6 linked regions of the Coturnix japonica genome follow. The protein of the gene in region 3 interacts with the protein of the main gene of each other region in a pairwise test. Links are inferred from orthologs where the notes say so. Each region holds a gene or a part of one and is shown on either strand. Other genes may lie near its edges. The genes, in order: CBY2, ABI3, CEP44, AQP1, POP5 and RNF8.

Region 1 (3,944 bases), on a different chromosome or scaffold from region 3:
CTCAAATTAAGAGTGAAAAGAATGAACTCTTTTTTGAATATGCAGGCTCTCCATTAGCAGAAAATCCCCCCCAAAAGGCTGAAAAGCATGCTTTCCAGGCACCACGCTACCAAAAGTTGAAATCTGCCCAGGTAATATAAGAAAGTTTCAGAATAACACAATACTCTCCAGCTTTAATTTTAGTTCATGCTCTGCTTGTATTTTATTAAGTTCCTGGAAACAAAGAGAGGCACTTTCCAGGAAACAGAACTAGCAGGTTTAGCACCAGGCTTCAAATCTCTCCAAGTTGAAACTCGTTTGCCATGTTCTTCCCTTCTTCTTCATATATTGGGAAAGTGATGGCGATGAGCTCTTTCTCCAGCATTTCCAGTTGAGTTGTAATGTCTGACACAGTGTTTTTCACGTTATTCAGCTGCAGCTTCAATTTCTTGTACTCTTCCTGGAAGAATTTTTTCTCATCTTGGAGAGCGTGAAGGCTGTCTCTGTCATCAGCAAGACATTTCTCCTTGAGGAACACCTGGAGAATCTGGTATAAGTCATGGAGAGCCTGAAGGATTTCATTATCATCCTCTGCGGTTGGTGCAATCTTGGTGTCATTCTGGGTTGGCGTGGTGCTCTCCTCTTTGGCATCATGCTCCTCCTGGGAGGATGTGCCAGGGCTACCTTCTCCCGCAGCTGTGGTACATTCAGTGACCTTCTGAACTGAGCTGGCGCCTTTGTTCTCTTCTTGGACTATGAAGGTTGGTTGATCTTTCCAAATGCTGGGAACTGTTCTATTCTGCTTATGGAAAAACTCTAAGAAGCTGCTTCTTTCTCTGACCAGCTGGAGAGCCTTGTTGCTTGGACTGACCTGAAAACCTAAATGCCTCTCTGGGAAGAACGAGGACAGCTTATCTTTCTGGAGGCTTTGCTGGATGATGTCACTGTAAACAAGCTGGACACCTTTGTTCTGTGTCTGGAGATATTGCAGAGCCTTATTTTCTTCCCAGAGCATCCTGTTTTCGATACGGAGGACTTGGTTTTCCTCCCAGAGGGCTCTGTTCTCCTCCCAGATGCTCCACTCGTTCTCTGTCTTCTTGTTAAGGAGTCTCCTCTGGGATGCAAATGTTGGCTGGCAGTGCACCTCATTCACCCATTTACCATCAATAAATGTAAATGTCTCATCCCTCAGTTTCATCCGTGGGAAGACACAGTCCATCTCGGGCCTTGTACCCCGTGTGCTCTGGTTTGTCAGGTCAAAAGCAGACATGGTTATCTGTTGGCAAACAGAGAAAGATTGTGAAAAGACTTCTGCAGGAGGCCACTGCAGGAGGCCACTGCCCACTGGCAAGGACTAGATGACACAGAAGCTGGAGATGAAGCTTGATTAGGACTGCAAGAACAGGAGAAAACAGGCACTAGTGGAGAAGGCAAAGCCTTGGTGGCACCACAAAGTTTGATACAAAAACCTGGACTCTCTTTTCATCCCCTTGCATCAGTTTTACAGTCATGGAAGATAAATAAAATGCAGAAAGTCATATGAAATGAGATTGAGATTGAACTGCTTTTTAAAACAAAAGTATTTGTTTCTTTTTACCACAGCATAAAACTGTTGGGTTTTTTTCTGATAAAAAAAAAATGGTAGGCTGACTGCCAGTTTTTATCCTTCTTGCCCCAAAGCCTTCCAGTCACCCTCCTGTCCTATATGGCATCCAGTGCTGCCATATGACTGGTGGGCAGTCATTTTGCCTCTGTATCTGTCCCAAGCACTTGGCAGGGGGTCAAAGCCATGGCCCAGCTCTGCCAGGACACTGAACCCTTTGTCCTGTTTTGCCCCACAACCTTCACCAGCTGCTGCCTCCCTGGGCTCCTCCAAGTTACTTCTGAGACCCACCACCCACAGCTACCTCCTTCTTTGCCTTCCCAAACTTGCTTGAAAGCTCAAAGACATATTGCTACTGTTCAAAGCCCCAAATCTCTTCTTGAAGGAATAATTGCAATATGGGTCTGTTTGCCGTAACACTTGATTTTATTGATATAAGGTCTCTGCTTAACTTTCAGAGCTGCCTTCCGCATTGCCATCTGGTATATCTCACATCAGACTTGTGTTTGCATAATGTCATTCCTCTGCTAAAAGGGATTTCCCACTGTTTGCAACTGCTTGCCAATTTCCGCGTTTATTTTTCCCCCTTACATTGTGTTCAGAGCACAGCGAGCAATTTGTTGCTCCCTGCCTCACACAGACCTGTCCTTTTCCCTCAGAGGGTGCTGATGTCCCTGTCATTATCCCCATGATGGGAAGCTGAATCACAGGGGGAACTGATCCCTAAACCCTGATGAGAAAACAGCCAGCATCACAAGCCAAGACCCACCCTTCACTGTGTTTCATGCGCAGGCATTTAAAGCCACTTATGTTTAAAGTGTTTATATGGCAAGTTTTGAGGATAAACAGCAGTATATAATGTATACAGCATTGAAGGATGTTGTCCTGGGGTCAATTAAACTTGACAGCACCTCTATCAGCTCCTGTGTATTGCAGGGGAGAGGTCAACCCAGGCTTCAGAGAAATTTTCCCACCTTCCTTATTCATATTCCCAAACTAAAAATTCCTTCCACAGGATGGGGAGATGGGTTGGAGGAGCAGGGTTGGGGGAGACCGCATGAAATCAAGCATATATAGGTGTTTTGGCAGTACCAAATTACATACCAGCATGTACTCACCTGCTTGTTGGAGATGATACTCTACCCTCTTCACTGCCCTGCACAGCTGCCAGGTCTCCGCTTGGCTTTTTAGCCTGAAGTTCTGCTCCAAGTTCTGTATGGGGGGGGCATGGTGATGAGATGGGACAATGGAACCCACTGTGATGCGATCACCACGCCCAGAGCCAGCCCCTTCTCCACAAGTCCAGGAGCTCCCCCCTCTCCCCCCTCACAGCCCATTTTGTTTTATTTTTCCCAGCATTGCACATTTGGGTCATTTCTCATGGAAACGACCTTTCCAGTAGCCTAGCTCTCACGTCCTTTCTTGAACCCAGGCTTCCCTCTCTGATGCACATAACTGAGAGCAGTTTAGATGGATTCTCCCTCCATCACGCTCTCCTAAAAGAAATTTTGCTTTTATTCTGAATCTAACACATTAATTCTCTGGCTGAACCAATGCTGATAAGTTCAAAAACCACTTCCTTCTGTGTATGCGCTATGACAGCTGAAGTTATTTTTAAAGGACAACATGGATATGAGTTTTTCTGTAACTATAAGTTAAAGAGTAGATCATCACTGAACCCCATTAAGAAGAAAACAGAACATGCAGGGCATTCATGCATTACAAGTTTAGATATTATTTATAGCAGCTATTCCTGCTTCCATGTCTTTATGTTTCTAATAATCTCATTCTCTCTCTTATTTGCTTAATCTTTTAGATGTGGATTATTTCTTCATCTTTTTTCCTGTCATCAGGGTTTTTGAATAATAAATACAGCAATTAATGTCTATTCCAGTGAAAATTACCAACTTGACATCAATCCCAAAGTGACTGTTATTGCTTTAGGAAGTTAAAGGTATAGTTTGGCTTCAGTGTTCTGCAAAGATAATAAACTTAGGCATACAATTCTCTTCTGTATTTTTTTCCTTGTTTCTATTTCATCTCAGACAACACAATAAATAAGTAAATCAGAAGTTCCCATGACAACTCCCCGGGGTTCATTCTCCTCTGTTCAAGTTCTGGGGTCCTACAAAGAGAAACTGGAAAATATCCCCCTAAGAAGTAGTTGGCCTTCAGTCAGATGGCAGTGCCAGGGTGCTGTCCAGCTGCTACAGCTCTCAGGGGAGGCAGCTGAACTTCTGAATACCTGAGTGTGTGGACCACTGGCACAGACCTTAAATGAAAGTTTTAAGTTCTAAGAGCCGACAGAAAACTGAGCTAACAGAGACAAGGGCACCGTGGATTTATCAGCAGGCAAAGCCTG
Region 2 (4,023 bases), on a different chromosome or scaffold from region 3:
TGAAGCTGCAGAGAGCTTTCCCTCGGGAACCACGGGGGGCTGGATGGGCTCAGGGACACGAGTGCTCCTCCTGCCAACAGAGCAGGCACTGAGCCCATGCTGACAGGACACAGAGGGCAGCTGCATTGGGCAGTGCACCCCATGGCTCTGTCCCTGCTCAGTGACACCCAAGCTAAAGATTCCCTACTCTACACCATCCCAGAAGCCTCACCCCATGGTGCCTGCAGACTGTGTGGTTATCTTCATCCCTTTCCGAGACAGTGTGCCTGTCCTGGACAGCTGAGTGCTGTGATCCTGCAGGCAGAAGAAAACACATACACATGACAAGTTCATTGCACTCCATGCCTACCATGCCCTTATAGTGCCCCAAAGGCCTTTGCTGAACCCTTCTCAAAAGGATGGGGGGTGGTGAGGGGCTGCCCCAGCTAATAGAAGTAGATATTGGTGCTGATAGAAGCAGATATTGGTGCTGCTGTCTGGCATTGCCACCGTGGGAACTGCAGCCCCAGCACTGTCACTTCCCCTTCGACTCCACAGCGGTTTCACACTGTGCACGTGGCTCTGATGCTGCTGAAAACCCACAGACGCCTTCCGGTGAGGGGGCAGCTTACAGGGGCAGTTTCAGTGCTGGAACAGCACTGTGGGTGTAATGCAACTCAGCCTTAGCCAAGCAACTCTGGGACTGTGTGCCTTTATGGCATTGTCAGTGTCCCATTCCCCTCCTGCACCAAGATGAGCCCCACTGGGACAAGTCCTGGAGGAAGCATAGACAGACCCCCTTTCTCCATCCAGGAGGGGTTTGTACCCCCACCAGATCACATAAAGCCCATCTAAACCCCCATCTACCCACGGGACACCCTCCAGGCTGACCTTTATGCCGTGACCGATGTCATCCAGGATGCTGAAGTTGAGGGGTTTCCTGTAGTAGGGCTCTAGGGAGGGTGGGTTGGGGGGGGATGTGATCTTCTGGTGGGATGGGAACCTCTTACTGACGGTCAAAGCGCCGATCTCCCGACGAGATACTTTCTCCTTGTGCATGTCAACGCTCTGTGGAGGCAGCAGGAAAGGCTCTAAGGAGCCCTCAAATATCAGGAAGAAAGTGAGTGGCTGCAGGGCTCTGAGTCATTGTCCCTAGTTCTCCAAGGGGACGAGGCCAGTGTCCACCGAGGGGAGATAACAGCATCTGAGCCTATGTGACTGCTGCAGGGTAGCTCCTTGGGGGCTTCCCCAGAGGCTGCCATGGTCCCCAAACACCCAGACTAAGACAAGCCCTTAAGAACAGTTTCCCACCCCTCGGTAGTCTTGTCCTTTAGCTTCTTGGGTGACCAAGGTGCTGCAGGGGCTGACAGGCCATTAAAACCACAAGAAAAGTTGGTCTCCAGTCCCTGTAAGCTGCTCCTTTCTCAGGGCTGAAACCCCACAGCAGTACAGACCCATGGCAGTGGCTGAGGTCAGACCCACCTGGGCTACACAGCTGACATTGGCCTCCAGCTTTTGCAGCTCGGCTGCCTGCAGGTCCAGCAGCTGCAGGAAGGTGGTGGCCAGGCTGCTGACCTGATAAGCCACACTGGCCAAGGACTGTGTGCTGAAAGCCATCGTCTCCTCCAGAGCCTTCCTCTTGTCGCTTGCCTGGAGGGTGAAACACAGCTGTGATGAGCTGGGATGGCTGAGAGCACAAAGTGCCGCCGCCGTCATACCCAAACCAGGGTCACAAGGGAGCAAAGGGGCTTCCTTCTGCTTTCCAAATGCATCACAGTTCCTCCAGCTCAGGCAGTGGGACTCAGCGATGCTCAGCACCATCAGGGTGCAGTGGGAGAAGCACAGAGGGGATCAGGAGGGTCTGTGCTGTTGGGACTGTTCCAGTCCCGCTGCCAGCAGCTGGGGAAGCAGTCTCAGTTCTCTGAGCTGTTTTGCATGCTTCCCCTTCAGAGATGCAGCTGGGGGGCTGTGAACCGACCAGAAGCTTCAGCATGAGAAAACAACCCAGCCCTGGATGATGCTTAACTGAGGCAGCAGCAATGCCCGGCCATGGGACAGAGTGCAGATTCACAGCCCCAGATGGGGTGAGGGAACAACCATCACCACTCCCTTGGGTCTGCCATGGGGGAATGAGGCTACCAAGGTGGGATCCTTAAAGCACCCAAGAGACCCCCGGTCAGGGCACTGTTCCCAGCCAATGGGGCCAAACCAACCCTTTGCCATCCCCTCAGCAGGTCACAGGGACAGGGGGGAGTAGGACAGCACAGAGCCCATTGCCCACCCTATGCTGGGAAGGAGTGAGCACTGTCAGCACCTCCCAGACCCTGAGCTGCCATCCCTGCTCCCCTCCAGCACCAAAAAACCCCAGAAGACCCCCCCCACAATGTCCCACACATAACCCTGATGGCTGAGCAGAGGGGAAACTGAGGCACGAGAGAAGCTCTCAATGCTGGGCAGGAAATGAATGGGAACAGCAAAGCCTTCACCCCCACACCATCCTCCCCATCACCACCACAGACCCCCCAACCCATCCCAGCCCCACACACATCCCTACACCCCACCTGCAGGTAGTTGCTCTCGCAATACTCAGCCACACGCTGCAGGTTGTTGTGGTTATCACGCAGTCCCTGCCGTGCTGCGGGGACATCGCAGGGCTGCAGCGGCTCCGCCATAGCGCTGGGACCGGAGCCCACTTCCTCCCCAGTCTTTAAGGCGCCGAGTTTTGAAGCTCGCGGTGATGCTGACGTATTGCTTTGCTGATGCTCCGTGGGTTGTCACCTCTCCCAGCTTCCCTTGGTGGAGGTTTGGAGGCTGCAGGTAGAACCTGAAAGCTGTTGGAGTGCTGCAAGGCCGCCTACAACTGCTCTACACATCCATACTCACCCCCTCTAATTCAACCAGCCCCATCAAGGGAGTATGGCTTCTTCATGAGGCTGAAGGCAGCATGGCCATGGGTAGGGCACCATTTCCAGGTCAGTGCTGCAGTTTGGCTCCTGACAGCCCAAATTTGGTAATTTGGAGCTTGCACCTCCATCCTCTGATGGAGCCTGGGGGGCAGGGGGCCAGGCCTGGCTCTGTTGCACCCAGCAAGGGCAATTCCCTTCCCCTTGCCTTTATGGGACTGGCAGGAGGAGATCTAGCTCCAGAGTGATGCTTCCATTGCCAGCTCATCTTCTCCAGACAGCCCCGTGCCTGCACCTCACCCAGCTCAGGCTGGGTGCAGCCATCAGTTTCTGCTTAGCTCTGTTTGCTGGGACAACACGTCCCTCCTTGTGCTTTGCTAATGGTTTTTCCCATCCGCACAGGACAGTGCAAGAGGCCACAGCCAAGGGCAGGAAACTCTCACTTCCCAGCACTGGGAGGGTCCCTCATGCTGGGAATCCCCCTCTACCTCCTCCTCCTTATGCTTCCTTGGGGCCTCCTGAGTTCTGTCCTCAGCTTTAGGGCTTCACATGGGCAAAGCAAGAGCCAAATGTCCATAATTGCCCACAGCAATTAAGGTGAGGATGAGGGAAATGATGAACCAGCTCTGCTTCTCACCCCCTTAATGGCCAAGAGCCACCCCAGCTGCCTCCTGCCCCCCCCATTCCATCCCATAGGAGAAAGGGATGCTCCCTTTGCTCCCCCAGCCAGGCCCCAGGCCTACATAGGCTCAAAAACACACAGTGTGAGCTCAGGGGCTGCTGAGTGCCCCACAAAGCTCATCTCCACCCTTGCCCTTCCTCCCTCACCCTCCCCTATGGCCCCACCACTGATTACCCCAAGCTTTGAGGCTAATGCCCAACACCTGACCAGCTTATTCTTCTGAGTCTATTATCAGCTTAGGGACCAAAGACATCTGCTCCTTGCTACAGGCTGGGAGATCCAAAGGAGTCTTCAAACAGAACAGTGCAGACACAGAGGACGGCAGCTCGATGGGTTTCTGAACATCTCCAGCAGTGAGAGGGGCAGCCCCTCATCCATACAGGTAAGTGGCTTTGCTTCCTCCAGGCACAAAGGAATTGCAGGTGTTACCATCACCCCCATGAGCTGATAGCACAGCTG
Region 3 (4,281 bases):
CAAGGTCAAACACAAAAAAGAACGTGAAGACAGATACCTTATAAATAGCTTCAATAAAGCGCAAGTCACTCTTTGCTGTAAGTTCCACATCACATTTCACCAGAAGTTCTGCTATGTAAGTTGAGAAGGATGTAAAAGAATAGCTAATTATGGGTAAAAACGCAGCTGGATCGCCCTTCACTAGCCTGTTAAGAAAGAAAAGTACTTTACATAGCAGAAGAGAATAAAAGACCATGCACAACTGCAAACATTTAACTTGGAAGGTTAATATAGCATACATGTTACACTCAGATTATATCTCCTCAATATGGCAAGCCCTTTACACCTCAATTATAGTGTTTTGCCTTCATTTTCAAGTTTTTTCTCTGGTTCACTTGATTGCAAGTACCTTTCCATGCATATCTCGTTTACTGCTATCCATAAAATGCCTGAAACAATGCTTTTTGTGACTTCCCATATGATCCCAACATGGTCAGGTCTAAAGCCCAAAAGTTCAATGTTAAATACCTTGCTCCATCTTTACATGATGAAATTTCCTGAAGAAAGTGTTGTGAGCACTTAGAAAGAAACAAAGAGATTAATCAAGGGGAAAAAAATTGCTCAGACTAGCAAAACTGAATTATTTCATCTTTCATACCACATGTATCAAACTCCAACTTCACACAGACGTAACCTCGCTGCTTACTTATCACTGGATGCAAAGCCAGTATCTTGCTTACACATCTTGCTGTCATCATGTATTAGCAGAAATTTATTGACACTATTTCTTACACTGTATAATCCACATCTCTTGGATAATTTATCATGCGAAGTCCTTGTTCTATTTTTCTTAAACTTCCTTTTAGGTCTCCTGTTGTCATTCTTCCAAACACTGCTCTCTCAGATTATGTGGCAATTGTAATTTTGTCTGCTCAAGAAAAAAATAAGTAAAAAAGAACACATTAAAATTACAATATACATCATTATCTCTGAAATTTCTCTTTTCTAGAGGCTAATATTTCTGATGTTACAAAACAGCATAGAGCTAAGGTTCAGTACTAATTAATATCCATTATTTCCCTCATATCACCCACATCAGGACTGAGTAGAAACACCTAATCCCATCCACTATCAAAGACCTTCAAAGACAGAGATCTGAATGCATATGAAGAATTTAGGGATGCTTAATCAAACAAAATGGAATGAGCTTCTTTATTATCTCAAAGGAGAACACCCTTCTCCATTAAACTATCCACTAAATCAGCCTAAAGTTGTTCAGGCAGAAGTGGTGCAACAAACTCGGCAGCCTAGGTACTTCAAGGTAGGTCTAAGTTTATTGGCACTATAGTCAGAAGGTCCAGTTTTAACCTCTACATCATAACACACAAGTCCCTGCTTTTTAGTTTATCATTCACAGGAGACTCACTTAATGACATAGTATAAACTACAAAATGGTGCCCCTCTCTCTGCAGAGTTATCTTGTAAAAAAGAAAGAAAGAAAAAAAAAAAAAAAGATAACAGAAGAAAATCAATAATGCATGATAACATTATCCAAATCAGCTTTGTCAAAGGCAAAAAGTGGTAAAGGAAACTTGTACATTTAGTGATACATTCTGGCCAAATTGATTAATAAATTCTCAAGTGGAGGAGAAGACTGAGTAAAAAAAAAAAGTCAATTGAACATCATTATCTTCACAGACAGTCCACAAGCACTGTTTGCTGTATCTTGTGAGCACATGTTTATAAGCAAACAATATTAGTTCTTCTCCAATGCAAAACTTTAAAAGCATAGACTGGATAACAGCCAAGCTTTCAAATCACATCTGAAAACAAAGCCTACATCTTAGCCTTCTGAACAGACCACTACAGTTCAAGAAAGTCTATTAGCAAATGTTTGAGAAGAAAGGAGTGGGGGGGGGGGGGGGGGAGGGAGGGGAATCAACATAAACACCAACAAAAGCATGTTAATACACAATATTCAGAAGATATGAAAAGTTCCATATGAACTTATGAAGTTATGAATATATGAAAATATGAATATGAGAAATGAAGTTATGAAAATAATGTTTCTTCAGAGAATTTCTCACATCCTTGAGATCGGCTTCTGAATAACTGCCATAATTGGAAATTGTAGTCTTTGCTGGGTTATGGACTTGCTAGAGGCTTGGGCCCAAAAAGAAGTTGAGAATGGAGTTAAATCCAGCTGGCATTCAGTCTTGAGGTCCCCAGGGCCTGGGACCTGTCCCATCTAATATCTTTACTGCTGATTAGGATGAGAGCACTGAGCACACCCTCGGTAAGTTTGCAGAGTTGGCCAGAAGCATCGATCTGCGTTGGGGCAGGAAGACCCTACAGAGGGATCTGGACAGGCTGGATCACTGTCTGAAAACAGCAGGAAGAAGTTCAACAAGACCAGGTGCTCTTTGATTATCATCTTCGTAGAATTCCTTTCCATGCCAACAAACAAACACTGAGAAGCCCATTAGTCCAAGCAGCAAAGAAGTATTGCCTAGTAAAATGCACGTGGAGATAATGCTCCCAGGATACACAACTTTGCCATCCTCTCCCAGCGGCGGGCACGGGCTGGAGTCCGAGGTGCCGACAGGCTGCGTCCTGCTGCCCCCCGCCCGCCCCGAGGCCAGGGCTCCCCTCCAACACCCGAGCAGCCCTGCTGTCCCAACCCTGCTCGAAGGGCCCGGCACTCACCTGCGTCGCTTCCCGTGGCCGGAGCCTCCCGCCTGCGGAGCCCGAATCTGCCGCCCCGCGGCACAACGGCCGCTTCCGCTTCCAGCGCGTCCCTCCGCGGTGACGCCACTTCCAGCAACAACAGCGAACGTCAAACCTGCCTAGCAGGAGGCGCGGCTGCGGCGGCTCCGTGCATGCCGGAGGGGCCTCACCGCCTCCCCCCACCGCTAGGGCCGCTTAGCCCCTCTCTCTGCCCGGCGAGGCTCACGCACCGACCCGCAGCGAGCTCGTCGCGGCGGCGGTTGGACCCGAACTCGTACAGGTACGAACCGCGGAAGGGCTCCCGCAGCCGGGCTCCGTCCACGGGCAGGCGGCTGCGGGATGATGGACGGGCGGCTCGGCTAATCAGAGGCCGAGGCTGGCTGTCGTGGGCCACTGGGACTCGGGGGCGGTACCACCGCGGTGGTGTTGCGAGGGGCTGGGGTCACCGGCTCCCTCGGCGCTGTCCGGCTCCGGGTCTGACTCGGGTGTATGGGGCTGTGGGGAAGGAAGCTTAAGATACGGGGATGGACTCAGACGCGGCTGTAGGGCTCGGTGCAATGCAAAGGCCTCTCGTGGAGCCTGTGTGTGTGCTTTGCTGCTTACAGAGCTACCAGGGCTACTACATCTTTGTCCTAACAGATGACATGACATTTACCTTGTAGTCTTCTATCATGGGCTCTACTGCAAAAAAGATTTACTCTGGAACACGGTAACACAAAGCAAACCTGGTTCTCGGGATCTCTGAAAGGTTAAGTCTGGCTGGTAAATAGCCACAAGGCAGGTGGTGCCAGGGAAGATCAGCCGTCCATAAATAAGCTTAGTGTCACTTTTTCCTGTCAGAGTTGTGACAGCCAAGCCATCAGAAGGTTGTGGGTACTAGCTGAAATTACATTAATCACAAGTTTGGAAACATACATTTCAGTGGCTTCCTGACTCTGGGGCCTGAAGATGGATGTTCACAATGTTACAATATCACAGTATTACAAAATTATTATTATTATTACTCGCCGTTACTCTTAGAGCCATACAGTCATAGAATGGCCTGGGTTGAAAAGGACCACAATGATCATCTAGATTCAGCTCCCTGCTGTGTGCAGGTCGTCTGCTGCTGAGTAGCCATGCAGTGTGTTCCCAGCAGTCAGCTTGAGTTGAGTCTTTTTGTCATCCCCAAAACTTATTCAGCTGGTGCTTAAAATAGAAATATGTATTTTTAATCATTTTTTTTTTAATTTCAAGAAGTCTTTCTAGGATTCGTGGATACCATAGCACTGTTTTGTTGGTTGTTTCTGTTTTGTCTTGGAACCATGCTGTTAAGTAATCTAAAAGCGATTGGGCTGTAAATGACGTGTCACAATTAGCATTCTGTGGCAAGATGAACCCTGTGAGCACCAGCAACAAACACTGGTATTCTTGTCAGCTCGGTATTGCTCAACAGAATGCAGCTTGTAAACAGGAACTACTAGCTGGGTATTGCAATAAAAACATTAAGCTAGCAAATAAAATTTGGATATTTGATTTAGGGCTAGAAAAACTTCATCCTATGCAACTAGGACCCGTTTACAAGTGTGGCCTGCA
Region 4 (4,023 bases), on a different chromosome or scaffold from region 3:
TCAGCTTGAAAAGCAAGCATGACATAAAAGCAAGTCTCTGCGGCATCCCCTTATGCTCTGTTTGCTGAAGGAGGCAGTGCAATGTGACTTCAGGATGTGCCCTGTGGGGATCAGCTTTGTGTGAGGACAGCTGTTCTGTTGTCCCCATGCTGGGCTCAGACCCATTGCCCCCTCAGTCCCTCATCTCCCCTCCCCAGCTGGTCCCAGCTGAGTGGGAAAAGAATGGATTTGCTTTCCTCACCAATTCCTTCTTACAGGAGAAAAGAACAGCTGCTGCTCTCCCTATCTCCTGAGATGTCCTCCCCCCGCTCTCTTCTATCCAGAACATTTATTGCTGGATGGGAAATAGAATATAAAAGATCAAAACTCTGAGTGTTTGACAATAACAAGACCAGGGCTTTTCACAGCATTTGGGAATGATTTCATCCACCAATCCACATGCAAAAAGTGTTGCCAGATTTGTAAAATAAGCATGGAGGAGACTTAGAGTATACATTCTCCTACCACTGATTTTATGGTATTAAAAAAGGTGCACTGAATGTATTCCAGAGGGAGGGGCAGGGCTTGCACTCTTGAATGCAGTTTTTGAGATTCACTGCGTGATTTTTCCATCTCTGACTTCTCTCTATTTGGATGCCCTTGTGCAGAGATCTGACTTAAATCTTTGTAACTTGAAGAATTACCAACAGCGGAGCAAGCTTTTGAGGTGGTCCCCTACACCCACTTTGCAAACAACCAGTTTCAGGAGCTTCAGGGCAAGGGAAGGAGCCAGCCACTAGTGCTCTGTGGCAAGCAAAAGGCAAAGACCAAATGGGAATGCTGCTGAAAGCAGACCTCCCGCGTTCCATGGCAGCTGGCAGCCAGACCTCTCGAGGAAACCACCGGGGCGGGTGCCCTGTCCCATGCGGTTGAGCACTTCCCTCTGCCAGTGGTTTCAGAGGAAAGGATCACGTCTCACACACGCAGCCAGAGCCCGCTGGAGTTAATGAAAAGATTCCCTCTTCTTCCCCCAAAAATGTTTTGGATGATCCCACAGGAGTTCCCAGATGGGTGGCAGGGTGAGACCCCTGCAGGGAGGTGAGCAGCCAACACAAAGAGCAGCACAAATGGGTGGCGCTGACCTCCTTAATGTCAGCTTCTGTATTTTCAGAAGCTCCTCTTCCTCGTGCCACAAAATGCTTAAAACTTTTTTCTTTGTCTTTTTCTATTTATTTATTTTTTTCTCCAAAATGATTTCTGAAGTGATATTGTGCTTGGACCTTTGTGCCCCAGTGGGCTTAAGATTTCAAATACATCCAAGTTTCAAACTGTATCAACTATTCTGCAAGAAGGGGGGCATAGAAAAGCTATGAAATAAGCATTCTTAATAGAATCAGGTGAGATAAGTGACCAGAAAGGAATTTCCATTTATAGTACTCCTCTGCATACTGCCTTGCTGACATGCGCTGATACTGGGATGATTTCATGTTGAAAAGGGTGACTGTCCTTTTTGCCCCATTATAGTCCAGTGGCAACAGCAAGAAAGAATAACGTGTGAAAGAGGAGGGGTTGCCACCAGGCAGCTGTTTGTATGCTGTAATGGACAATAGCTGTGAGCACCTGGATGGGAGAGGGCTGAAACCTGCACCTCTCAAAAATGCAGATTCTTCACCTCATCCTCTGACCCACACCTGAGAAATTCATATTTCCCCCCATTTTTGCACAGCAAGAGTAGGAAAAAGAAGAAAAGTGCAGCTAAGATTCTGCATCAGGCAGGATGAGAGCACTGTGCCAAATGCAACAGATGATGCTCACACCTTTGGTGACAGCGTTTCTCCTGCTACCCATCTCTCACTGGTCCTGTAGGTTCTTACACTGCACTTATCAGGTTACACAAACTATTAATGAGGTATTGAAAAAGAGCCACATTCACAGAAGTGAAAACACCAGTTTATACACATTAACCAGCATCACAAGCCAAAGACATGTTACCTGAGACCTTCAGAACCAGGAAAGAGACTCAGCCATGCAAATATCAGTGATTTCAATGTTACATTGGTACCAAAAGTCACTTTTCTGCAGCATGGATATGCAAAACTGAACACGAGCAAAACTGATAATGACCATAAAGCTCTGAAAAAGAACAGAAGGACCATCCCTACAGCATCTCTTACCAAAGAAAAGGATTAAAATAGTGCTTCAGCTGATAGCAGTGAATGCACGCATCCTGGCATCAGTCAGGACAAGCTCTCTGCCTGAGGTTACCACCAACATCACACACATCCTTACAGGTGTTGCCCTCACCTTTCTAGTCTGGGAAAAAGAGTCAAGGGGGGAAAGCAAAGTTTCAGCTTACCGCATTGAGCCCCAGGGAGTTGTAAGGCAGAGAGGAGGTGACTCCGGACAGGATAGCAGTGGCCACCACTGCCCCCAGGCACTGAGCGAGGATGTACATCAGTGCCTTGAAGATGCTGATCTGGCAGCTCAGCAGGAGGCCCAGGGTCACCGCCGGGTTCAGGTGGGCACCACTGATATGGCCCACGCTCTGCGCCATGGTCGCGATGGATAACCCAAAAGCCAGCGAAACCTTCACGTTGTCCTGAGTTGCTGATGTCCCGTTGACTGACACTGGGAAATTAAAACCCAGGGCCGAGCCAATGCTGATAAAAATAAAGAGGATCATGGCAAGGAACTCGGCCACCACTGCCCTCCAGAACATTTTCTTTTTGAATTCACTGGCCATCTCTCCTCTCTCTCTGCCCTCCTCTCTCTCTTCTGTTCCTTTCCCCTGCCTGGTATTTTCCCTTCGAGGTCTGAAGAGAAAGCTGGAGAGAAAATACGGTCCTTGGATTATTTATAGGGCTTTGGGTGGTCTGTAGGAGGGAAGGGGTGTTGCACAAAAGGAGGAAAGAACATCTACATCGATGCTGACTGTTAGATTGATGTAAGACACTGCACGCTTGCCAAAGTTTTTTCTTCCTTTTTTTTTCTCCCTCTCTCTTAACTGCCTTCGATCTCTGCTGCTGTTTTTAAGAGGCTTTTTCAAGCCCTCGGAAGAGCCCTTGGGAGAGCCCCGGGAATGTTACCCTCACTCTATTTAACATCCCTCATCCTTCGGGTCGGAGCAAGGGCTGTCGCGGGGTCTCTGCCTGACAGAGGGCTGAAAGGAGAAGCACTGAGCTGAATTACGGCACACAGCTCTGTGGCAGCTGGGGGACAATGAGCAGTAGTAAACAGAGCTGATAACTAAATCCACGCTCCAGAGATGGAAAGATCCCTGTTTCATTTGAAAACAGACAAGTCTCTCCTGCTGGTTTCCTGGGGACCGAGTACATTTTGGATGCCACCCTGATCGCGGACGGACAGACACAGAGCAACATGCACTGATCTGAGCTGACTGAGGCAGGGATCGCTCCCCACCTCCGTGACCGCGGTGTAAATAGAACCGGACACCACAGCAAGGGGAAGCTTTCCACGGCCGTGATTCCTGTGTGCTGAGGGATAGATTCATTTCTATTAATATTTAATTATTTAATTTACCTAATCTCAGGGTTTCTTGATCAGCTCAAAGCAGCCGCTCAGGGACTCCCCAGCCCACGTCCTACAGTAAAAGTGCAGAGGAACATCAGCTGTCACGGGGGAGACTGAAACGGGGACGTAAGGGGAGCGAGAGGGAGAAGGGGCATTACATGCTTGATTTTGCAGACAAAATGAATCAACAGACAAAGCCAGAATATCCTCGGCAGCAAAAGGTCTCATCGCTCCGGGCTTTATTGCGGCAGGACGTGTGTGCATGCCTCGGATTAACCCTTGTGCTCTCAGAATGCTGCGGGCTGAGAGGCTGCTGATAGCATATTCTGTAAGCCAGGGGGCTTCCTCGGACTTACAGCTGCTCAGCATTCGATCCAGAGGCAGAAACAAAGTCCCCAGACACAAGTCTTGAAAGAAGAGCACTTAAAATCATCCCACTGCTTTGCCTCCTCCTTTTTCTTCTTCTTCCCTTGAAGCACCGCTGCTTCCTAAACTGCATTTAAATTAATTTGA
Region 5 (4,171 bases), on a different chromosome or scaffold from region 3:
GGTTTGATTTGAAGCTAATGAGTTAAGTGGTGTGGATTTTGTTAAATAAAATGAACTGTAGGTGTAATGTACCAGTCAAGGCCACCAGTTGCAATAAATCACATGCGCACACTTACAATACTGCAGACTTTTTTGAGCTATAATGTTTGTACCACCACAGTATCATGCCACTTTTGGTAACACGTGCAAATTTAGCATCCTACTCATGCTATGGGTTCCCTTCAGGAAGCTGGTATGAAGTACCATGTAACATAGGGCAAGAGTGACAGGTATCTTCTGTTACATTCAGCCCCACCTGTACCAAGAAGTGCATTCACATGGTGTTTGAAAAGCTTATGCTTCCATTAAGAAGCAATCCATGCCCCCCCTCCCTTCTGCACTGTGACCAGTTTGAGCAAGGAAGTCGTGGAGTTGAGACTCCTGTTGTTAGCCATCCTCACACTGATACACTCATTGCTTTTATCCCTCCCTAAAAAGGCTGTCAGCATATCGGTGCTTCATGTCAAAACAAGAGGCTCCTTCTACAGGTGCTTCCTGAAGGCACCCAAGTACCAAAGAGCATAAACCAGTCTGCAGCTGGGAGACAGAAAGGGGGGGAGACTGGGGAGGTCAGGAACGTTTCTGTTGTGATAGGAGAACAGAGGAAACACTTGCAAAACATTCTTTGAAAGCAGCTTAATTTCACACTTGGTCACAACTAACTACACTTGAGGGAGAGCAGAGCTTGCCAAGGGAATACAAAGAACCAGAGCGCCCAGGAGTGGTGCACAGCTTGTTGTTAATGCTTCGAATGCACACAGGAAAACTGGTGAGGGCACAGAAAAAAGTCATGAAATAAATTGAAGTATGCAGTTAACTGCGTTCACAGTGCGATTGTTTTCTACTTGTGTCATTTTAAGCTATGGAACAGGAGTATCTACTTGAGTGGTCTCCAAAGGGCAGACCTTCAAGTTGCGTCTTGTTTTCCCATGGATTCAAGAGCTGTGAGCAGCAGTGCTACCTTCCTGTAACTGATTGGTGTAACCTTAATAAATACCTAAGCAGTAATTGTACCTATGAGTTTTAAAAGGGGTTGGATGGAGCTGAGCCATGTAGTTCCATGTTGTGTTTGCTGTAATCTATGCTCCCATGTAGACAATCGGTGCTTTTGTGACCTGAAGCACCAGACAGCCCCATGAAGAACAGGTGCCCTGGAAAATAAGGTCAAAAACTGAAGTTCCTGCTCTCTGTACTGAAGGAGCATAACTCCATTTCTTTCCCATACAACTGCCTAAAGCTCAGTTCTACCTCAGCATGAAGATCACATTGAGCTTCTCTGCTCCTTAGGAGCAGTCAAAGGTTTGAATCCTGGAATAAAAGAGGCGAAAAACCTACTGCAGTGTAATCTTTTGTGGTTTATTTGAATGCATTTTATTTAAGAACATTTGGAAGAGAGAAATGAAGTCCATGCAGGGACATGAAAAGCACCTTTACTTGCTTTACTGAACACAGTAAGATGGTCGATGCAGAACAAAGGTGAGCAGGTGCTGCTCAGTCCGTCTCTGTGCCATCCTCCTCCTCCTCCTCCTCATCCCCACTCTGTGCCTGCTCCTCTGTGATGGAGCAGCTCATCACGGCCTGCTGCACCCTGCGCCTCTCCTCTGCAAAGCACACACAGTCATTGTGCCCTGTGCAAAGCACACACAGTCAGTGTGCCCTGTGCAAAGCACACAGCTCAGGTGTGCCCTGTCAAAGCACCACAGTCCACTGTGCCCTGCTGCAAAGCACCACACGTCACTGTGCCTGTGCAAGCGAGCACACATCCAGCGTGTGCCCTTGTGCAAAGCACACGCAGTCACTGTGCCTGTGCAAAAGCAACCACAGTTATTGTGGCTTGCAAAGCACACACAGTCACTGTGCCCTGTGCAAAGCACACGCAGTCACTGTGCCCTGTGCAAAGCACACACAGTCACTGTGCCCTGTGCAAAGCACACACAGTCACTGTGCCCTGTGCAAAGCACACACAGTCATTGTGCTGCAGCCCTATGAGCGGAGCCGGCCGGCACAACTCACCTTCATTGGCGCAGTTCCGCAGCAGCAGGTGCAGCTGCCGCCTGTTGTATTGGATCAGAAACTTCTGGCAGGTTCTGATGGTCCCTGCAGGAGCGGCACGTAACAGCCCTCGGAACCACCCGCACCCAACGAGCGCATCGGGCACCGCCTCCATTAGTGCAGGTGCCGGTTCGGTCCCGGTTCGGTCCCGGTTCCGCCCTCACCTCCCACGTGCAGGGTGCGCAGCGCGCAGTGGAAGCGCTGCCCGCGGCTCTCCAGGTGTCGCACGAGCGGCAGCGCGGCGCAGAGCAGCGGCCGGCATGGCTTCCTGCAGCGCAGCAGCACGGTGCCGGTGTAGGCGTTCAGGTATTTCACTGCGGACACACCGCGCCCGTTACCGCCCGCATCCCGCCCCGCCCCACCCCGCGCCCCGCCCCGCTACCTGTGAACGACACGCAGCAGCAGCCCAGCCCGTAGTCGCCGTGCGCCCTAACGATGGCGTCCCTGACGGCCAGTCCCACAGCGCGATCCTCGATGCAGCGGCGGCAGCGCGGGTCGTCGGAGAGCAGCTCGCACAGCACGTACCTGCGGGCGGCGGGCGATGCCGGTAACGGGACGGAGCCGCCTCACCGCGAGGAGCAGCCTCACAACTCACCTGTTCTTGAAGCGCACCATGCCGCCAACCGGCCCTTCCGCGGGGATGCTGCTCCCAGCCAATGAGCGAGCGGCCTGCGCTCAGCGCGGCCAATGGGGCGGGGAAGGAGGCGGGACTTCCCGTCCCGCTCAGCACGCGCGGCTCCGCTCTTCCTCTTTGCCTTCCTTTTCTTTGCGCATGCGCGCTCCGTCCCGCGCTGCCCACATCCGCCGCGCGGGGCCGCTCGTGGCGGGTGGAGGCGTCGAGCGGCGGCTGGGCCGCGTGTGAGCACGGGGCGGATCGGGCGGAACGAACTGAGCGTGGGCTCCATTGAGGACACGGCGCAAACGGCGGCGCGATGCCCGTCCGCGATGAGCAGCAACCGCCGGTTCTGCTGCTCCCGCTCCGTCCCGTCTCCGCTCCGTCACCTGTGGCCGCACTTCAGGCAGGTGGCAACGAGAACCTCAGTGGGGACAACAGCGCACGGCGAGGCCGGGCCTTGGGCGGCCTGTACGTGTACGATGGGCTGCGGGCACAGCCGGGCTGCGCTGCGGCTCCGTGCTCCGACACCGGGCCGTGCTCCGTGCCCTGTGCTCTGTGCCCTGTGCCCTGTGCTCTGACACCGGGCCGTGCTCCGTGCCCTGTGCTCTGTGCTCTGCTCTGTGCTCCGTGCCCTGTGCCCTGTGTCCTGTGCCCTGTGCCCTGTGCCCTGTGCCCTGTGCTCTGCTCTGCTCCGTGCCCTGTGCTCCGTGCCCTGTGCTCCGTGCTCCGTGCCCCGTTCCAATGCAGCCGCGTGGCGCTGCTGTCTCTCTTTCCCCCCGTCTCCGTGCTGTCCCGCTGTGTCCCCGGGCTGTTGGCAGTGCTGTGTGCTCACTCCGTGCCGTGCTGTCTGTGCGGTGCCGTTCCCCTCCAGCCCGTTGTGTTGCTGCCGTTCCTTCCCTCCCCCGCTCTGTGCTGCTGCAGAGGCGCAGCTGCGAGCAGCCCGCGTGAGTGCAGTGCGCCCTGTAATGCGATGGGACGTGTGCGCTGTGCGTGCACTCTGCGCCTTGCAGAGCCGCCGTTTGCGGTCCAAGGAGCTGATGAGGAGAGACACGGTGCTGGGACAGCGCTGTCCTGCTTCATTCCGCTCAGGGTACAGCCCTTAGTTCCCTGCTGTTGGTTTGGGTAATGCACAGAGCAGCCCTGAGCCAGCACCGCTCCCTGCACACACAGCTCGTGTTTGCACAAGCCGTGCAGGTTTGCTCGGGATTCACGGTGTGCTGAGCTGACAGCGCAGGAGTAAAAGATTCCAGCACCTCCACCTTTGTTTCCTTTCCTCCTCGCTGCATCCTCTGCGACCTTTGCTGTATTGATTTGTGCCAGTGATTCAAGAAGCAAATCATAAGTGACGCTGAGTTACGTGGTCAAGGTGGGAAAGAACAGCCTCCAAAAATAGGGCTGGAGAGGGAAAAATCCAGAAGATTTCTGCAATTCCAGTTGAAGAGTGGCTGCAGAGACCTGCCAGGA
Region 6 (3,500 bases), on a different chromosome or scaffold from region 3:
TTGATTTAATAAATGGGACACTGAACCATTAAGTTGGAAATTGCAAGGTTTATTTAAAGAGGTGGCTTGTTCTGACTGCAATACTGCAGAGACTGGATATGTTTACAGTTGCCAGAAATAACTTGCAGATGACTTTGTAACTGTATATTGAACCTTGCTGATTCTTTGTATTCAGAGTCTAAATGGAGTTTGGCTTAATAAACAGCGCCTGGATCCTTCAAGAACCTATCCTATAGCAGAAGGAGACCGTATCCAGTTGGGAGTGCCTTTGGAAAACAGAGAGACTGCTGAATTTGAGTATGAAGTAATTAAAGAGGAGTGGGAGAAAATCAAACCCTTTTTAGCCCAAAGGAGTGACCTGGGGAAAGCTAGGACCTCAAGACCTAAACGTAAATTTACTTTGGAAGAATCGGAGACATGTGGATCAGAAGGCCCTTCAAATTCCAGATCCAAAAGGGACAGAGTGTCGTGTGATGGAGAACCTTTGAGTAATACATTGGGAAGAGTAGGAGAGGCAGAACAGTTGACAGACAAGGGGGTTGTCAGGCTGCCCTCTCCTGGATCAAGTGAGGACGATGGTGGTCCAGTGCGTGGTAGCCTTGATTGCTCTGAGAAAGCTGTGGCTGTTGCTCACAAGGACCAGAAACACTCCGCTCTTTCTCAGTCATGGACTGGCCTGGAAAAGCTGAGGAAAAATCTCACAGATATAAAGAAATTAAAAGTCAAAGTGCAGGAGAAACAGACAGCAGTTCTGAATGCGAAGCAGAAGCGCAGGAAGGCTGCTCAGAAGACGATCCTAGCAATGGAAAAGGAACTGCAAGAGTTGCAGGACAAACTGTGCACAGAACAAGTACAGCATCAGCAGCAGGTGGAAGAGCTGGAGAGGACATTCTCCAAAGAGAAGCAGAAGCTAGAGGTATGATGGTGGTAATCATTTCAGTCTGTGTGTTTTGAGATATATATTTTTTTCCAATTACGAAACTAAAACTCTGACCCTCTGTGGGTTACAAAGAGGACACGTTAAAAAGCGTTCACGTTAAATGGGATTTTTTTCTTAGTATACAGCTTTTCTGAATTAATGCTAAATTCACGTGGGGAATTTATTTCCTTTTCAAGCAAGTGCATCATTTTTTGCCTGTCTTAATTCAGAGTCTGAGGAAGGAGGGGTTTTTGTTGTTGATTTTTTTGTTTTGTCTTTATTAGGAGAAAAACAGTCTCTTCTTGCTACCCGCAAGTGCCTTCTAGCACTGTGTGGATGCTGATAACTTGTTTTAGATAGGAAGCTACAAGTCTATCTTTCTGTTTGACTCTACTTGAAATCTGGTTCAAGGGAAGTAAGGATTCGTCTGAGAGTTACTTACCTGATTTATCAGTTACTTCCTTTAAAGTCTGCTGCTGAAAGCAGAATACTGTATCAGAAGTACAGGAGGTTTGGAGTTGTGTGCTTAGGATAAAGGGAAGTTCACCTGAAGCTGTAACTCTGTCTGGCCTATTTAAATGTGTTCAGAGAGAGAGCTTCAACTTTTTCTCATGTGTAAGCTATTGCCAGCTTCCTGGCTTCTGTGAACATTGCAGTGTCTTCAGAGCTAGAGTAACATGGAGTTGTTCCAAGTATGGAACTGTAAGTGATACATTCATTTTAGCACTTCACAGTAAATGGGAGCTGTAATTTCAGTAGTACACTTGAATCTCTACAGTAGGCCTTTTCAGTTTCTGCTGAAAATCAGTTTTGTTGCTTTAATTATATCCTCTAAATGTGCAAAATGGTTCTTTTCATTCCCGTGGTATCTTCAAGTATTTTTTTTTCTTCCTCCAATAATTGCTTTACTGCAAGAATGTCTAGTTTTGGTGTTTGATTTTTTTTTTTTTATTTTTTTTTTCAGGGAGTAAAAGGGCAGGATGGGGAAGAGAATCTGAAGGAGCAGCTGGTCCAGGTTCTGCAAGAGGCAAGTAATTAAATCTACTTGGTCTAAATATGGAACTCATATACTTAAATCTTACTGCTTCCACTCTTGGTGGAAGACTAGGACTGTGTCTAAAGTGCATTTTGAGTGGTCTTTATCTTCTACAGACTAAATTATTGCTAGGAAGAGACAGGCCTCCCTTCTTGAGAGTTGTTATTTATCAGCAGATAACACAAGAATCTGTGCTTTTAGAAAGTGTTAAGTAGTGTAGTGGTTCTACTTGAATCCGGTCCACATACTGGTGGATATTTTTGCTAGGTCTGTCCTCTGGTTATCTGTTTTGGGAAAGCTGCCTTGGTAGTTTTAAACCACAGGAAAAAGGACTAGTTTTGGTTAGGAATGTTTCTGAAAGAGATTGTCAAATGCTTAGTTTTCCTAGGCTTTCTGTCTAAAAGGTTTTAAGGCTAATCCAAAAAGAGATTCAACCAGCCCTTCTGACAGGCTTTTGTGACACTTGTGTGTCAGATACTCCTTGATACTCAAATGTAACAGATGCACTCAAGACAGTGACCAGAAAAGCAAAATGAAATGTAAAGTAAGTTGTAGGTGTTGGGTGAACTTCCTTAACACCTTGGCTTATATAGAGCTGGTGCTCTTACAGGAGAAGAAAGGAGAAATGAGTGTGCTGAACCTCATGATTAGATCCATGTGTATTTAATAGGGTAGCTTATAATAACACTCTTATTTTTGGTATCATGGTATCATTACAGCATCATGCTTTGATGGAAGAACTGAGCCGTAGTAAAAAAGATTTTGAGGAGATAATTCGAGCCAAGAATAAAGAACTGGAGGAAACCAAAGTAAGTAATAAAACTAAGTTCTCCGTAATTGGAATATGATATGCTGTGGCAGAATAAATGATTTAACATTTGCTTTGGCTGTGTGCTGCCTTCTGTGTTGAAAAGCTCTTGTATTTTGGTCTGGCGGCTGATTCACTCTGTATAAGATATACTCTTTGCTCTGTTTGTGGAGTAGTATTGCAGAGTTATTACCAGATACAGAAAGCACAGGACATCTGAATAATGTTGTGCAGGAGAAGCTGACCCATTCTTTTCTTTAAAAGAAAACCAAACAAGGGTATTGGAAAAGTGGGTGCTTCATTTTCAGTTTGCGTGGACTGGAGTGAAACTGCAGCATGTTCCAGCAGTCCAACAAGGGAGCACGGGACTGAGACAACGTAACATTTTAATAACGAATGAGATAAGCCATGTTTCTTCCTGCCTCTGTCAAGATGATGAGTGGAAGATAATTAAAGTGATCTTGTGCTGTGTTCTACACTTGGAAATTATGATGTTTCATTCCTCTGGCTATTTGCTTTGTTTTCTTCTGTCAGCTTTGCAACTGTTGCTTTAAGGATAGTTCTTAGAAGATGTAGCAGATGCCGGAAGCCTAATTTAACCCTAAACAACAAAATATGAAGATTGATCCAGTTTGTAGATTCTTTAGATTGAAGGGGACTTTAACAGTGGCTGTTCTTTCTTGTAAGCACTCTGTTATGGACAGGAATATTCTCAGTACTGCTGTAACTACAAAATG

The links.
Region 1: the proteins of CEP44 (region 3) and CBY2 interact in binary tests that used the Homo sapiens proteins (3 or more experiments, as listed by UniProt). The two-hybrid records come from large-scale screens. The link is inferred for Coturnix japonica from reciprocal best matches to the Homo sapiens genes CEP44 and CBY2.
Region 2: the proteins of CEP44 (region 3) and ABI3 interact in binary tests that used the Homo sapiens proteins (3 or more experiments, as listed by UniProt). The two-hybrid records come from large-scale screens. The link is inferred for Coturnix japonica from reciprocal best matches to the Homo sapiens genes CEP44 and ABI3.
Region 4: the proteins of CEP44 (region 3) and AQP1 interact in binary tests that used the Homo sapiens proteins (3 or more experiments, as listed by UniProt). The link is inferred for Coturnix japonica from reciprocal best matches to the Homo sapiens genes CEP44 and AQP1.
Region 5: the proteins of CEP44 (region 3) and POP5 interact in binary tests that used the Homo sapiens proteins (3 or more experiments, as listed by UniProt). The two-hybrid records come from large-scale screens. The link is inferred for Coturnix japonica from reciprocal best matches to the Homo sapiens genes CEP44 and POP5.
Region 6: the proteins of CEP44 (region 3) and RNF8 interact in binary tests that used the Homo sapiens proteins (3 or more experiments, as listed by UniProt). The two-hybrid records come from large-scale screens. The link is inferred for Coturnix japonica from reciprocal best matches to the Homo sapiens genes CEP44 and RNF8.

Annotation. Positions count from the first base shown.
Region 1 is NC_029516.1:150,251,945-150,255,888, reverse strand, and holds CBY2 (spermatid-associated protein), read right to left. Parts: upstream 2,801-3,944; 5' UTR 2,701-2,800; intron 1,256-2,700; 5' UTR 1,250-1,255; coding exon 272-1,249; 3' UTR 173-271; downstream 1-172.
Region 2 is NC_029542.1:3,004,010-3,008,032, forward strand, and holds the start of ABI3 (ABI gene family member 3), read right to left. Parts: upstream 2,801-4,023; 5' UTR 2,652-2,800; coding exon 2,541-2,651; intron 1,630-2,540; coding exon 1,462-1,629; intron 1,048-1,461; coding exon 871-1,047; intron 295-870; coding exon 212-294; intron 71-211; coding exon 1-70. UniProt on the Homo sapiens protein: May inhibit tumor metastasis. In vitro, reduces cell motility.
Region 3 is NC_029519.1:38,907,365-38,911,645, reverse strand, and holds the start of CEP44 (centrosomal protein of 44 kDa), read right to left. Parts: upstream 2,801-4,281; 5' UTR 2,686-2,800; intron 2,554-2,685; exon of another isoform or gene 2,067-2,553; intron 908-2,066; 5' UTR 861-907; coding exon 772-860; intron 186-771; coding exon 38-185; intron 1-37. UniProt on the Homo sapiens protein: Centriole-enriched microtubule-binding protein involved in centriole biogenesis. In collaboration with CEP295 and POC1B, is required for the centriole-to-centrosome conversion by ensuring the formation of bona fide centriole wall.
Region 4 is NC_029517.1:953,034-957,056, reverse strand, and holds the start of AQP1 (aquaporin-1), read right to left. Parts: upstream 2,801-4,023; 5' UTR 2,723-2,800; coding exon 2,336-2,722; intron 1-2,335. UniProt on the Homo sapiens protein: Forms a water channel that facilitates the transport of water across cell membranes, playing a crucial role in water homeostasis in various tissues.
Region 5 is NC_029530.1:8,204,929-8,209,099, reverse strand, and holds the start of POP5 (ribonuclease P/MRP protein subunit POP5), read right to left. Parts: upstream 2,801-4,171; 5' UTR 2,707-2,800; coding exon 2,687-2,706; intron 2,617-2,686; coding exon 2,474-2,616; intron 2,406-2,473; coding exon 2,256-2,405; intron 2,137-2,255; coding exon 2,053-2,136; intron 1,668-2,052; coding exon 1,531-1,667; 3' UTR 1-1,530. UniProt on the Homo sapiens protein: Component of ribonuclease P, a protein complex that generates mature tRNA molecules by cleaving their 5'-ends. Also a component of the MRP ribonuclease complex, which cleaves pre-rRNA sequences.
Region 6 is NC_029518.1:27,120,547-27,124,046, reverse strand, and holds part of RNF8 (E3 ubiquitin-protein ligase RNF8), read left to right. Parts: intron 1-175; coding exon 176-916; intron 917-1,883; coding exon 1,884-1,946; intron 1,947-2,674; coding exon 2,675-2,764; intron 2,765-3,500. UniProt on the Homo sapiens protein: E3 ubiquitin-protein ligase that plays a key role in DNA damage signaling via 2 distinct roles: by mediating the 'Lys-63'-linked ubiquitination of histones H2A and H2AX and promoting the recruitment of DNA repair proteins at double-strand breaks (DSBs) sites, and by catalyzing 'Lys-48'-linked ubiquitination to remove target proteins from DNA damage sites.